Cricetulus griseus: one gene and its partner. The protein of the gene in region 1 purifies or fractionates together with the protein of each later gene. This does not show direct contact. Links are inferred from orthologs where the notes say so. Each region holds a gene or a part of one and is shown in the gene's direction. Other genes may lie near its edges.

Region 1 (6,899 bases):
CAGGGGTTCTGTGAGTTGGAAAATATTAGGGGGCCAGTCCAGCCTTACTGTGTAGGAAAGTGACTGCTCTCGCGCTCTCTCTGTCTCTGTCTCTGTTTCTCTCCAAGCCCTTCCATTCCCATTCCCCCGTGCAGGTCACATCCACAGATGCCCAGCCCCCATAGGAGGCAGGACCCTTCGGAGCTGTGTGACTTTGTGCAGCCTCCACACCGTCTCTAAGCCTCCCTTCATCTCCCAAATGCAGACAATATAAATTCATTCCTTGACGAACCCGTGTGAGGGTGACACGGAGGTCGTGGAGCAGAGAATTGCTAGATTCAGAGGGATTCAAATGAAAGCAGGAGTGGGAAAGCAGAGCTGGGCCACCAGAGGGAGTCAGTGGGCCCATGTGCAGGGTTAGCATTCTGCTAGCACAAAAAGAACTGGTCCATGAAGCTGCTAGGGCAGCTACTAGGGGCCTGGGTGGTGGAGGGAGCTAAAGGCAGAGCCCTGGGCTCTGAGCTACGATGGCAGTTTGAGAATGAGGTGGGGATGAGGGCTTGTGCCCTCTCCCAGGCCTGCAGACTCACCTCTGTCTTCTTGAACCTTGCCCGGAGGGTCTTCATCAAGCCAGCTGGGGACTCTGGTCCTGTCTCTGGGGAAGGGATGGGTGGAGTGAGCCAGCGTGCTGGGGGGGTCAGTCATAGCATCCTGCACAGCACAGCCTCTGTTCTCCCACACTGCCAGTCCCTCTCTGCTGTGTGTCCCTGAGAAGGTGAGTTGCCCTGTCTGAGGAAACTGTCCCCAACTGTAAACAGAGGAGCTAATCCTTCACCCAACAGCACAGTCCCCAGAAGGGGCTGATGGACAGTAACAGGCATCACCACGACCCCATTAGCTCAAGCACCTCACACAGCTCTGCAATCTTGTTCTTGTGCAATCACTGATGCTAAGACCCACCCTCCTTCTCTGTAGAACTAACCCTAAAAACCCCAGGTGCTGATCAGTGTTGTCTCCCAGACAGAATGAAGTATATCTCCCCAGTTGGAACTACTTCCATTTTCCCCAGCGGGGGCACTTCCTCTGTCTTTAATCTGGCTTCTAAGCAAGGTGCAGCCACTAGACTGCATCCAGGGTTGCCAGTAACAAACTTTTTACTTACTGGGGTTGAGGGAAGGAGACACCTGACAATCAGCCCCTTGTAGGAAGGCCAGTCACGTTTCTGACTACTCTCAATGAGCAAAAGCAATCTATTCAGGGAAGACCCACCCACCACCCACCCATCCATCCACCCATCCCACCCATCCATCCATCCATCCACCCCCCCCACCCACCACCCACCCATCCACCCCATCCATCCATCCATCCATCCATCCACTCATCCATCCATCCATCCATTCATCCACCCACCTGTCCATCCTTCCTTTCTCCTCTACAGCTCAGTGTACAGCTCATTCTCACCCCCAATTATAAAGTTCAATCACACCCAAGGGTAACAGGAAACTCAGGTTGGCAGTCAGGATGGAATCGTGTGGGTAAGGCCTGTGAATTTAGGGGTCTCCCTCCTGGAAGAGGTGGGGCAGCACAGGTCCGCTGACCTGTGGGTTCCCACAATGGTTCAGGGAGGAGGCCGCACATTGAGCGAGGTCCGCGCATGTCGGGTGGGTCCCGTGTACCTGTCACGAGTGTGCAGGTGCATGTATGTGTTCGGGTGTCGCAAGCAGCCCCCTCCCCAACCCCCTGACACAGTATCCCCTTCCTTGGGACCCAGAGCAGCGTCTTCCCTGGCCTCTCACAGTCTCATCCCCCTACCTGAGGCGTCTCTAGGCCAGAGCACTGCGTGCACCACAGCCTCTCTGGTTACCCGCTCCAAGTGCGAGCTGCCAGCAGCAGAGTCGGGGTGACACCTGATCAGGAAGGGGGGGCATCCGCCCAGGGGGACGGGATGAGCCCAGAGAGGGAGGACTGCTGTTGGCCAGCCTGCTCATGTGGGCAGCCCCAAGGACTGCTGCCCCCATCGCCGTGGCCTGGTCCCGTCTGACCACCAGCAGGCACAGGGGTCAGGATGGACTGCCACAGGAGGGGATCACAGGAGGTGCTTCTGACCCAGTATCCCCTTCCCCATCTCTCTCTGCGTCTCCGGGCCCCTCTGTGTAACGTGGGGACCTGACCGTGATGCTCTGTGCTATCCCCAGAAACAAAGCTGAGAACATGCTGGCAGGGCGCCCGGGGGAGGGGGTGCCTGTGAACCCCAAGTTCCCATTCATTCTATCCTGTGGCTCAGAAAGGGGCAGACACGGGCTGACAGCCGCACAGCAGAGACCCAAAGGCCGCCCAGGGTCTCACGACCTCTAGACGGGCTTCGAACTCCCGCCGCGGCTGTATGCACGAGGGGTGAGCTCTACCCACGGAGTGAGAGTTCCGGGGGTTGTTTTTAATGGTTTTTGTTGCTGGTTTTGTCGCTTTTCTGAAACAGGGTCTCATTGCACAGCCAGGCTGGGCTGGGACTCGGTTCCTGCGAGCGCGCCGGGGACGAGAAGGGAAGGCTCGCGAGGCAGCCCGCAAGTCTCTGCCAGCACTAAAGATGGCGCCCGCGGCGTCAGTGCGGCGCGCGCGCTCCGGGGGGAAACACCTCCTCCGCCTCTAACGCTCCCACCCCGGCGGTCCCTTCCCCATTTCCGGCGGAAGCGGCCTCAACAAGGGAAACTTTATTGTTCCCGTCTGCGCTGTTGGCGACGATGTCGGTGAATTACGCAGCCGGGCTGTCGCCGTATGCGGATAAGGGCAAGTGCGGGCTGCCGGAGGTGAGGCCACGGTGTCCCGGTCGCCAGACGGGGGCCCGGACGAGTGGGGCATTGTGGGGACAGCACGAAACACGGAGTGTAGACAGCGGGAAGGACTTTCCTGGAAGGAGGACCCCGCGGGCGGGGTGGGTGCGGTGCGGTGGGGTCCGTCCCTGAGCCCAGCTGTGCCCCCGTCCCCACAGATCTTCGACCCCCCGGAGGAGCTGGAGCGGAAGGTGGGGGAGCTGGCCCGGCTGATGCTGCAGGCCTCCAGCGTGGTTTTCCACACGGGCGCCGGCATCAGCACCGCCTCCGGCATCCCCGACTTCAGGTCTGTGAACGAGCACGGGAAACTGAGGCAGGGCGCTGGCGGGGACGGCCGTGAGGTGGGGCAGCCGCCACAGATCCCGGCGATGTGTGGCTGCAGGGGATGCTGGGACGCGTCTGCGGGGTCCCCGGCTGCGGGGTCCCCGGCTGGCCGGCTGGCTCTCCCCGACAGGGACCCAGCCCGCAGCACACACTGACTTCAGGCTCCCAGGACGAGGCCTGCACTCGAAAAGGAACTTCTGTCCTCTGCTCGCTGTCCTCAGAGGCCCCCACGGCGTGTGGACCATGGAAGAGCGTGGCCTGGCCCCCAAGTTTGACACCACCTTCGAGAACGCCCGGCCCTCCAAGACCCACATGGCCCTGGTGCAGCTGGAGCGCTCGGGCTTCCTCAGCTTCCTCGTCAGCCAGAATGTGGACGGGCTGCACGTACGCTCGGGCTTCCCCAGGTCAGATGGGACTGGACCAGGGGCGTGGGGCTCAGCTGCACCCCTTCCTTATCCGGGAACCAGGCTGCCTGCCCGGGGTCAGGGACATTTTATTGGAGATGGAAAGGGGGGAAGAGCTTGGAGCCTAAAGTAGGCCAGCACTTGGTCAATGGGGGGGTTTCTAGGTGGGGCTCCACCCTGAGCCACGCCCCCAGCCCCTCACTGGGGGCGTCTAGGCAAGTGCTCTAAGGCCAACAGATTGTTTTCTGTTTTTTTGTTTTTTAAGATTTTCGAGACAGGGTTTCTCTGTGTAGCATTGGAACCTATCCTGGAACTAGCTCTGTAGACCAGGCTGGCCTCGAACTCACAGAGATCCGCCTGCCTCTGCCTCCCGAGTGCTGGGATTAAAGGCGTGCGACACCACGGTCCATCTGGCCAACAGATTTTTGTAGTGGGGAGCAGCTATTTGTGTTTGCAGAGATAGGGTCATCGCCACCTGTAACAATTCCTCAGCCTAGACCTTGTGGGTGAGCAGCCTAGGAAGGCTTTCTGGAGGAAGAGGCAGGCTGAGCAACTGGTCCAAGCCTCAGGGTTCAGGGAGGAAGGGACCTGACTCTCATTCTCTTCCGCAGGGACAAGCTGGCTGAGCTCCATGGAAACATGTTTGTAGAGGAATGTCCCAAGTGTAAGACGTGAGTGTCCGCAAGTGAAGACCGGCAGGGGAGGGGCTCTCCCAGGGTGGGGCTCTCCCAGGTTCCTCCGCTGAACCAGCTAACAGGTCCTGAAATGGCCCCAGGGAAAGCTGGGAGGTGCCTCTGATTCCAGTGACAGTCAGTTAAAAACAGACAAGCTATGAGGAGGTCCCCCAAGCAAGAAGCTACAAAACAGGGCGACACAAGCCACATCCTTGGAAGTGAGGGGTTCTCCCTGCCCCACCCCCCTGCTGTGGCTCCCAGCCAGCAGACAACATTGCTTTACACCAGATCCTCGAGGGTGTTAGGCAAGAGCTGTGCCCCTGAGCTTCAGCCCCTGACCCCCTCTTTAAGTTGCCTCTGCTTCCTGGTGCTGAGATCACAGCCAATGAGCCATCATGTTTGGCCACCCCACACACACACTGGTGGATGGTCTTGTATTGTTGTTGGTTTGGTTTTTTGCTGTTGTCATTTGGAGGGGGGGGGTTTAAGGATTTACCCATTTACTTAATGTATGAGTGTTCTGCCTGCTTGTACGCCTTTATGTCAGAAGAGGGCACCAGATCTCATTACAGGTGGTTGTGAGCCACCAGGTGGTTGCTGGAAATTGAGCCTGGGTCCTCTGGAAAAGCGGTTAGTGCTCTCCAGCCCCAGCATCAGGTGTCTTAACTCAACCCCTCTCCTTGTGTTCTGAAGCACAGTCTCTCAGAACCTGTCAATTGCTGGTTTTGCTGAGTGGCCAGGAACCTCCTGGGGTCTCCAGCGCTGGGGTGGTAAATCTGCTCCATTGTGCCGCCTTTTGAACTCAGGGCCTCATGTCTGCATGTCAAGCCCTTCCCAGACTGAGGCACCTGTCTTTGTATCCCTAGGCTGTTGGTCTTGCAGTGTAGCCCAGGGATTGAGCCTGTACCCCATACACTGGTTACACCACCCCCAGACCCCTGAAAGAGCGCTAGACAAGTCACATCCCCCTCCTTCCCCCCTGTACAGGCAATACGTGAGAGAGACAGTCGTGGGTACCATGGGCCTCAAGGCCACGGGCCGGCTCTGCACAGTGGCCAAGGCCAGGGGCCTAAGGGCCTGTAGGTGAGTAACCTTCCTCACACCTGCCCCTGTCAGGAAGTGAGGGCCCTAACTCCCTTCCCTGACCTGCTGCAGGGGGGAGCTGAGGGACACCATTCTGGACTGGGAGGACGCACTGCCTGAACGGGACCTGATGCTCGCTGATGAGGCCAGCAGGTGTGACCCCGTGCTCCCTGGGTGGCAGTGGGTGGGCACAGCTGTACAGGCATGGGATAGACTTCCACAGAAGATCAGGACTCAGGGGTGGGACAGCAGAGTGTCCTCTGCAGCGCACCCACACCCTTGGGCAGGATAGGTGCGGAGGGGACCCTGGGATGATTGGAAGCTTTGTTTGGTTTCTTGTTTCAGGGTTTCTGTGGTACTGGGGAGAATACTGGGCCTTGGTGCACTAAACAAGCACAGAACTAGAGCCCCACCTCCACCCCGCACTGGGGATTCTAAGCGGGGCTCCACCCTGACCACGCCCCCAGCCCCTCACTGGGGATTCTAGGCGGGGCTCCACACCCTGACCACGCCCCCAGCCCCTTACTGGGAGATTCTAGGCGGGGCTCCACACCCTGACCACGCCCCCAGCCCCTCACTGCTTCCTGCTCCCAGGACCGCAGACCTGTCAGTCACCCTGGGCACCTCGCTGCAGATCCGTCCAAGTGGGAACCTGCCCCTTGCCACTAAGCGCCGGGGAGGCCGTCTGGTCATTGTCAACCTACAGCCCACAAAACACGTATGTGCCAATGCCCTGCCCTGTGGCCCTGTGTTCCCTGCCATGTCCCCTGCTCCGGCCTAACTGTCCGTCACTCTGGCAGGACCGCCAGGCTGACCTGCGAATCCATGGCTACGTGGATGACGTGATGAGCAGGCTCATGAAGCATCTGGGGCTGGAGATCCCCACCTGGGATGGACCCTGCGTGCTGGACAAGGCCCTGCCACCTCTGCCACGCCCTGCTGTGCCCAAGACTGAGCCTCCTGCACATCTCAATGGCTCGGTGAATGCTGTTTGTAAGCCAGAGCCCAACAGCCCTGTACCCCACAGGCCCCCCAAAAGAGTAAAGACCGAGGCTGTCCCCAGCTGACCCGGGTGCGAGGGGTGGGAGGGGCACTTGTAAGAGCCACACGCAGTGGGATTTTTATTCTGTTTTCTTTCTGTGTGCTGAAGACTGAGCCGGGGCTTGCCCATGCCATAACCCACCTTTTTCATATTTTTCTTTGAAACCTGGGCTCCCTAAGTCACTCAAGCTGGCCTTGAACTCACTGCTGTAGCCCAGGTTGGCCTGGAGCTGGCATCCTGCCCCCCCTCAGCCTCCACAGTAGCAGGGTGGCAGGCAGGTGCCACCAGGCCCAACACAGCTCCTTGGGAGTCTCACTGTAGCCCTTGTCCACGTCCCTCTGAGGAATCTTGGGACACGGAGTCCCAGTGTCAAGGATTCATGTGCCTGTCCACCTGCCACACCCTGCTTGTGACTCAGGATGTGCCTGAGCGGCGGCCACACACTCCATCCCGCACCCCTTGATCCAGAGCCACCAGGGATCCGTCTACGCTAAGGGCCCCAGTCTCCTGGAAACACCCAATGCAATAAACATGGAATTCCTTTCATTTTTTTTAAATTTTATTA
Region 2 (5,268 bases), on another chromosome or scaffold:
TCAGCTGTCTTTGGAGGCCAGAAGAGGGCATAGTGGTTCCTGGGACTACAGTTATAATTATGAGCAAGCAGGTGGGTTTTGGGAACCGAACTTTGGTTCTTAGGAAGAGCTACCAGTGCTCTGAACTCTGAAATGTCATGTGGGTGGGTAGCTGGATTAATGGCTCAGTGGTTAAGGGCTCTTAATGCTCTTGCAGTGTATCTGGGTTCACAACTGTCTGTAATTAATTCCAATTCCAGGGGATCCAATGCCCTCTTCTGGCCTTCTCCAACACAGACATACACATAGTGTATAGGTAGGCATGCAAGAAAACACTCATACACATAATATAAAACTAAATAACAAGGGTGGTGAGATGGCTTAGTGGGTAAAGGCACCTGCCACCAAGCCTCACAACCTGAGTTGGATGTGTGGAACCCACTTGTATGTGTGTGTGGCACTTACACATAATAAATGTAATTAAATTTTTTAAAAAAGGAAATTACCATCAGATAAGCTACTTTGGCTTCCCACAAAGGATAATCAGTAACCTTTTTCAGCCTCGTCCAGAATCTAAGCCTGAATCTCAGATTCCACCACAAAGACCTCAGAGAGATCAGAGAGTTCGAGAGCAACGGATCAATATTCCTCCTCAGAGGGGACCCCGGCCAAGTAAGAGCTTTGGCGACTTGTCTGGCTTGGGATGGTTTTAAGAGGAGAATGTATCTTGACCTGGCTGGTGCAGTGGAACGATTTGGTTTTGGGTGGGGGGAATCTTGTTTGTGAAGGGTCTCTGAGACTCTTGTTTTGTCTTTGAAGTCCGTGAGGCTGGTGAGCCAGGAGATGTGGAACCTCGGAGGATGGTGAGGCACCCTGACAGTCACCAGCTCTTCATCGGGAACCTGCCACATGAGGTTGACAAGTCGGAACTGAAGGATTTTTTCCAAAGTAGGTGCTTGAGTCTCAATGTGGTCCTGATTTCCTAGACAGCATCACACAGTGGAGGCACAGGTGTAATGTCAGGTTTTCTAGTAACAAGGAGTGGGCTTAAGGCCTGGTTAGTCCAATTCCGAAATGAACCTTCCTTTCCACAAACATGACTTCTGCCTGAGCAGTCACTCCAAAATAAGTGTCATAGCTGTCACTTCCCTTGAGCGTGACACCAAGTGGAAGATTCCACCCTGATCTCAGTGTCATGAGTTGCAGGTGTGCTACAGCGTTGCATGACACTCCTTCACAGTGGTGAATAAGGAGCATGTGAGAGGTGTAATGCATTGTCTTTTACACTTGGGTCCGCTCGCCAAGATCCAAAGTTCACAAAGTTCACAAACCCCATGGCCTGGAACCCTTAGATCTTGGTTAGTATAGGCATTCATCTAAGGGGCATTTGAACTCTCTTTTTGCATTTTAGTTTGACATCTTGGAAATCATTTTAAATTCATTAGCACATCTTGCTCTTGATGTAAGCTGAATGCTGTAAAACTGGGTGCCTGCAAGGAAATTGTGAGCTCTTTGCACTTACAGATTATGGGAACGTGGTGGAGCTGCGCATTAACAGTGGCGGGAAGTTGCCCAACTTCGGTTTTGTTGTGTTTGATGATTCTGAGCCTGTTCAGAAGGTCCTCAACCATAGGGTAAGTAGATTTGCATCTCTCTGTGTGTGTTTTAAGATTTATTTTTATTTTATGTGTATGCGTTTTGACTTCATGTATGTATGTGTGCCAGGTGTGTGCGGTGCTCTTAGATTGAGAAAATTGGGGACACATCCCCTGGCAGTGGAGTTAGCTATTTTGATAACTCCCAAGGCTTCTGACCATGCATATGACACTTCAAGTACTTTCCACCTCTGCATTTCACTGACGTTTACTGCACTCATTTCAGTGTTTGTTTGTTTGTGGGTTTAGCACTACCTCCTTGTGTGTCACTTTCCATGCAGGAGGCCATGTTCACATTCAACTCCAAAGCTGTGGAGGCGTCTTTTTTTTTTTTTTTTTTTTTTAATCAACGGATCTCTCTGATGCGTTTCTCTGGCTTTGGAGGCTGTCTTGGAACTAGCTCTTGCAGACCAGGCTGGTCTCAAACTCTCAGAGATCCGCCTGCCTCTGCCTCCTGAGTGCTGGATTAAAGGCGTGTGCCTCCCCCCCCCCCCCCCCCCCCCCCCCCCCCCCCCCCCCCCCCCCGCCGGATGCGTCTATCATTGAGTTTACCTGAAGTTTGAGTTACTTATGTTTCCAGGGCTGTTTAGACTCTTTTCTACTCCCTGAACAGCTCACCACAGGTGCATGTATTAGTTCAACAGAAGCAGGTTTGTGAGAACTAGTTGGTTGAAAGCTGCTTGCTCCTTAGGGTTGTGTTGTTCACTTCTGATAGTCACGGTCAGGGTCAGGAGCCGGACTCAGTGTCTGCTTTCTTTGTTCCTCACACAGCCCATCATGTTCCGAGGCGCAGTCCGTCTGAATGTGGAAGAGAAGAAGACTCGAGCTGCCAGGGAAGGAGACCGCAGGGATAACCGCCTTCGGGGACCTGGAGGCCCCCGTGGTGGGCCGAGTGGTGGGATGAGAGGCCCTCCCCGCGGAGGCATGGTGCAGAAACCAGGCTTTGGTGTGGGCAGGGGGATTACAACTCCAAGGCAGTGAATTACTTGGCCCAGATCTCCACACAGCACACAGCCCTGGCTCCTGCAGAATGGTGAATTCCTTCAACCAGCCTTTGGTGTCTTGGAGTAGTCTATTATAAACTGCTCAAGTTTGTACAATTTTAATTTCGCTTGTGTTCATGGTGTGTGCCCCCCACTTCCCCTTTCCTCCCCTGACCTTTTAGTCCTTCACTTCCAGTTTTCTGGAACGATACTTTAGGAGGAGTAGGATTTTAAGAAGAGGAGGGAGTCTCACCTTCCTGCTCACGCTGCAGATACAGACTGGAGTGTAACGGCCATTCCCCAAAGGAGCGCGTCTCGCTTCTCACTGACAATGGATGTTTCATTTGTTGGGAGACACAGGATTTGATAAACATTTTGGAAGCAGGAAAAATCCATGTTATCTGTCAAGAGTCACGACTCCGTTCTGGTGTGGAAAAATTGCCTTTTGGCAACTGCCACTGGGTCCCTGCTGGTGTGGCTAACTGAATAAAAGGTGTTTCCAGAACTTTGTTCTTTTGACATGTGATTACCAAACAGTTCCAAACATCTGTTTTTACCATTGGATTTTAATTGTGACGTAGCCTGTCAATGTCTAGAACGCAGCTAAGGATTTTTGTTGAACTGTTAGTTTTTTTGAGGTAGAGTTTTTCATGTTTTATTTGTATTTGTAAAAAAAAAAAAAAAGAAAAAAAGGACAAAAATCCCCGCAAGAAAACAAACCCCAAATCTGATAACAAAACCAAGCAAAACTGTGCCTTCTATTTATCTTTGATTCTGGCCCTGGCAATTGTTTAAAGAAAAGTAATAAAGATTCTAGATTTGTTTTCAGATTCAGAGTATGTGGGGGAACTGTAGAATTTTTTTGATCACCTGTATGTGTCGTGTTAACATTGTTCTGCCTTATCCTAAAATCACGCCTCAGACTGGACCGCTTTTGAGGAAGGTGCTTCTGTGAGGCCTCTGACCTCAGTGGCTGACGGGCCACATTCTACTCTGCTGTCTATCGGGTTCCTGATAGGCCCCTCAGAAGGATTTGGCTTGAATCTTGGACTTGGCTAATGTACTCCAGGGTCTGCATATTTTTTTTCTTTAAATCATAGCCATATGGTAAATTTTCTATTTTGTTACGGTTCTCTTTTACTGATGGACATGCAGTGGGTGTTTCTTGGAAAAGGCCAATTTTTATTAAAATATTTCTGGAAGAAAACTTCATTTGACAATGTAGACTGCTAAAACTCACTTCACAGTGTTGTGTTGAGTGCTGTGTGTGAAGTGGGTGAAGGTTTTGTTTATACAGACTTGGTGTGTGAATAACCAGATTGTCAAATCTAACTTTTCCTAATGTAATTTGTGTGTGTGTGTGTGGGGGGGAATGGGGTGGGGGAGTTTCACACATGGGTGTACCACAGCATACTTGTAGGAGTCAGAGGACAGATTGGGTGCCAGTCCTTATATTCTACCGTTTGAGACAGTCTTATTTTTCTCTGCGTCAGCCAGGCTAACTAGCCCATAAGCCACAGGTAGTCCAGGGACTGCAGACATGTGCCAGATCTGACTTTTCTGTGGGTTCTGGGGATTAGAGTCAGATCTTCACACTTGCACATAGCATGGTAGTCATCTCCTCACTTCCTTAATGTTCATTTTGAAAACGGTCATGGATGGGTAAGTTCGGTTTTGTTGTCAGAAAGGCTAGTTGGGATAAAAATGAGAGGTTATCAGTTTGGGCTCAGCACCTCACAGATCAGAATTTTGGCAGCACCTGCAGGTGATGACTAGCTTAGGGTCAATTTAAATATCTTCATTTCAGACCAATGATTATAACAGGTACTTGTGTAGATTACATAAAGTGTTGGGTGGCTCATGACTTTAATCCCAACACTCAGGAGGCAGAAGCATGTGTGTCTGTGTGAGGCTAACCTGCTCTATGAAGCAAGTTTGTTCCAGCCAAGGCTGCATAGTGTGACCTTGTCAAAAAACAAAAGGTAGCCATAGAGAGACAAAAGGTACCCCAGACTACTGAAAAACACAGAAGCAATGCCTTTTGGCACAGGTTTATAGTCTCAGATAATATGCCCTGGGCACAGGAAAATCTCAAGTTCAAAGCCAGCCAGGCCTTTGTAATAAGGTCTGTCTGTAAGATTCAGTAGCTCGATAAATCTAAAAATGATTTTTACAATTGAGGACTAAGTCAAATAGTAGTTCTTTATAGCCAGGAGTACTAACCTAAAGAGGTGATTGGCATTTGGCTGTGTAAATTGAGGTGTCATGGGATGTGGCTCTTACCCTCTTTGGAAATAAGGGTGACATCTGGATTGAATCTGTGGATACAGGGAATGGTGGTGGAATTGGGAGATGAAAGTGCTGTTCTCTTCAGCCTCAGATAAGTGACCTCTACTGTGCAGGCTGTGTGTGTGTGTGTGTGTGTGTGTGTGTGGAGGGGGGAGTGCCCGGGCCCGAATTGCTTGTGACAGGTTAGGGGTCTGCTTGAGCCCCACTTTACAGCAGTGGGGTTGGGATAGGGGTGCTTTGAAAGGTCATGGGCCTGACAGGACTTGGCAACACAGTTAGCACTGAGAATCTGGATGCCAGTCTGTCAATATTGATACCACATGAAGCCAAAAACAGCTTAGTAGAGGTACCCATGGTCACAC

What was found.
Region 2: the proteins of Sirt6 (region 1) and G3bp1 purify together in Homo sapiens (affinity purification with mass spectrometry; 3 studies listed by BioGRID and IntAct, with this or other methods). This does not show direct contact. The link is inferred for Cricetulus griseus from reciprocal best matches to the Homo sapiens genes SIRT6 and G3BP1.

What each region holds. Positions count from the first base shown.
Region 1 is NC_048598.1:102,382,816-102,389,714, reverse strand, and holds Sirt6 (NAD-dependent protein deacetylase sirtuin-6), read left to right. Parts: upstream 1-2,631; 5' UTR 2,632-2,717; coding exon 2,718-2,783; intron 2,784-2,965; coding exon 2,966-3,093; intron 3,094-3,292; coding exon 3,293-3,535; intron 3,536-4,146; coding exon 4,147-4,206; intron 4,207-5,196; coding exon 5,197-5,292; intron 5,293-5,364; coding exon 5,365-5,445; intron 5,446-5,637; coding exon of another isoform or gene 5,638-5,779; exon of another isoform or gene 5,780-5,843; intron 5,844-5,886; coding exon 5,887-6,010; intron 6,011-6,092; coding exon 6,093-6,359; 3' UTR 6,360-6,896; downstream 6,897-6,899. UniProt on the Homo sapiens protein: NAD-dependent protein deacetylase, deacylase and mono-ADP-ribosyltransferase that plays an essential role in DNA damage repair, telomere maintenance, metabolic homeostasis, inflammation, tumorigenesis and aging.
Region 2 is NC_048600.1:69,677,539-69,682,806, forward strand, and holds the end of G3bp1 (ras GTPase-activating protein-binding protein 1), read left to right. Parts: intron 1-539; coding exon 540-651; intron 652-798; coding exon 799-927; intron 928-1,503; coding exon 1,504-1,613; intron 1,614-2,405; coding exon 2,406-2,615; 3' UTR 2,616-3,824; downstream 3,825-5,268. UniProt on the Homo sapiens protein: Protein involved in various processes, such as stress granule formation and innate immunity. Plays an essential role in stress granule formation.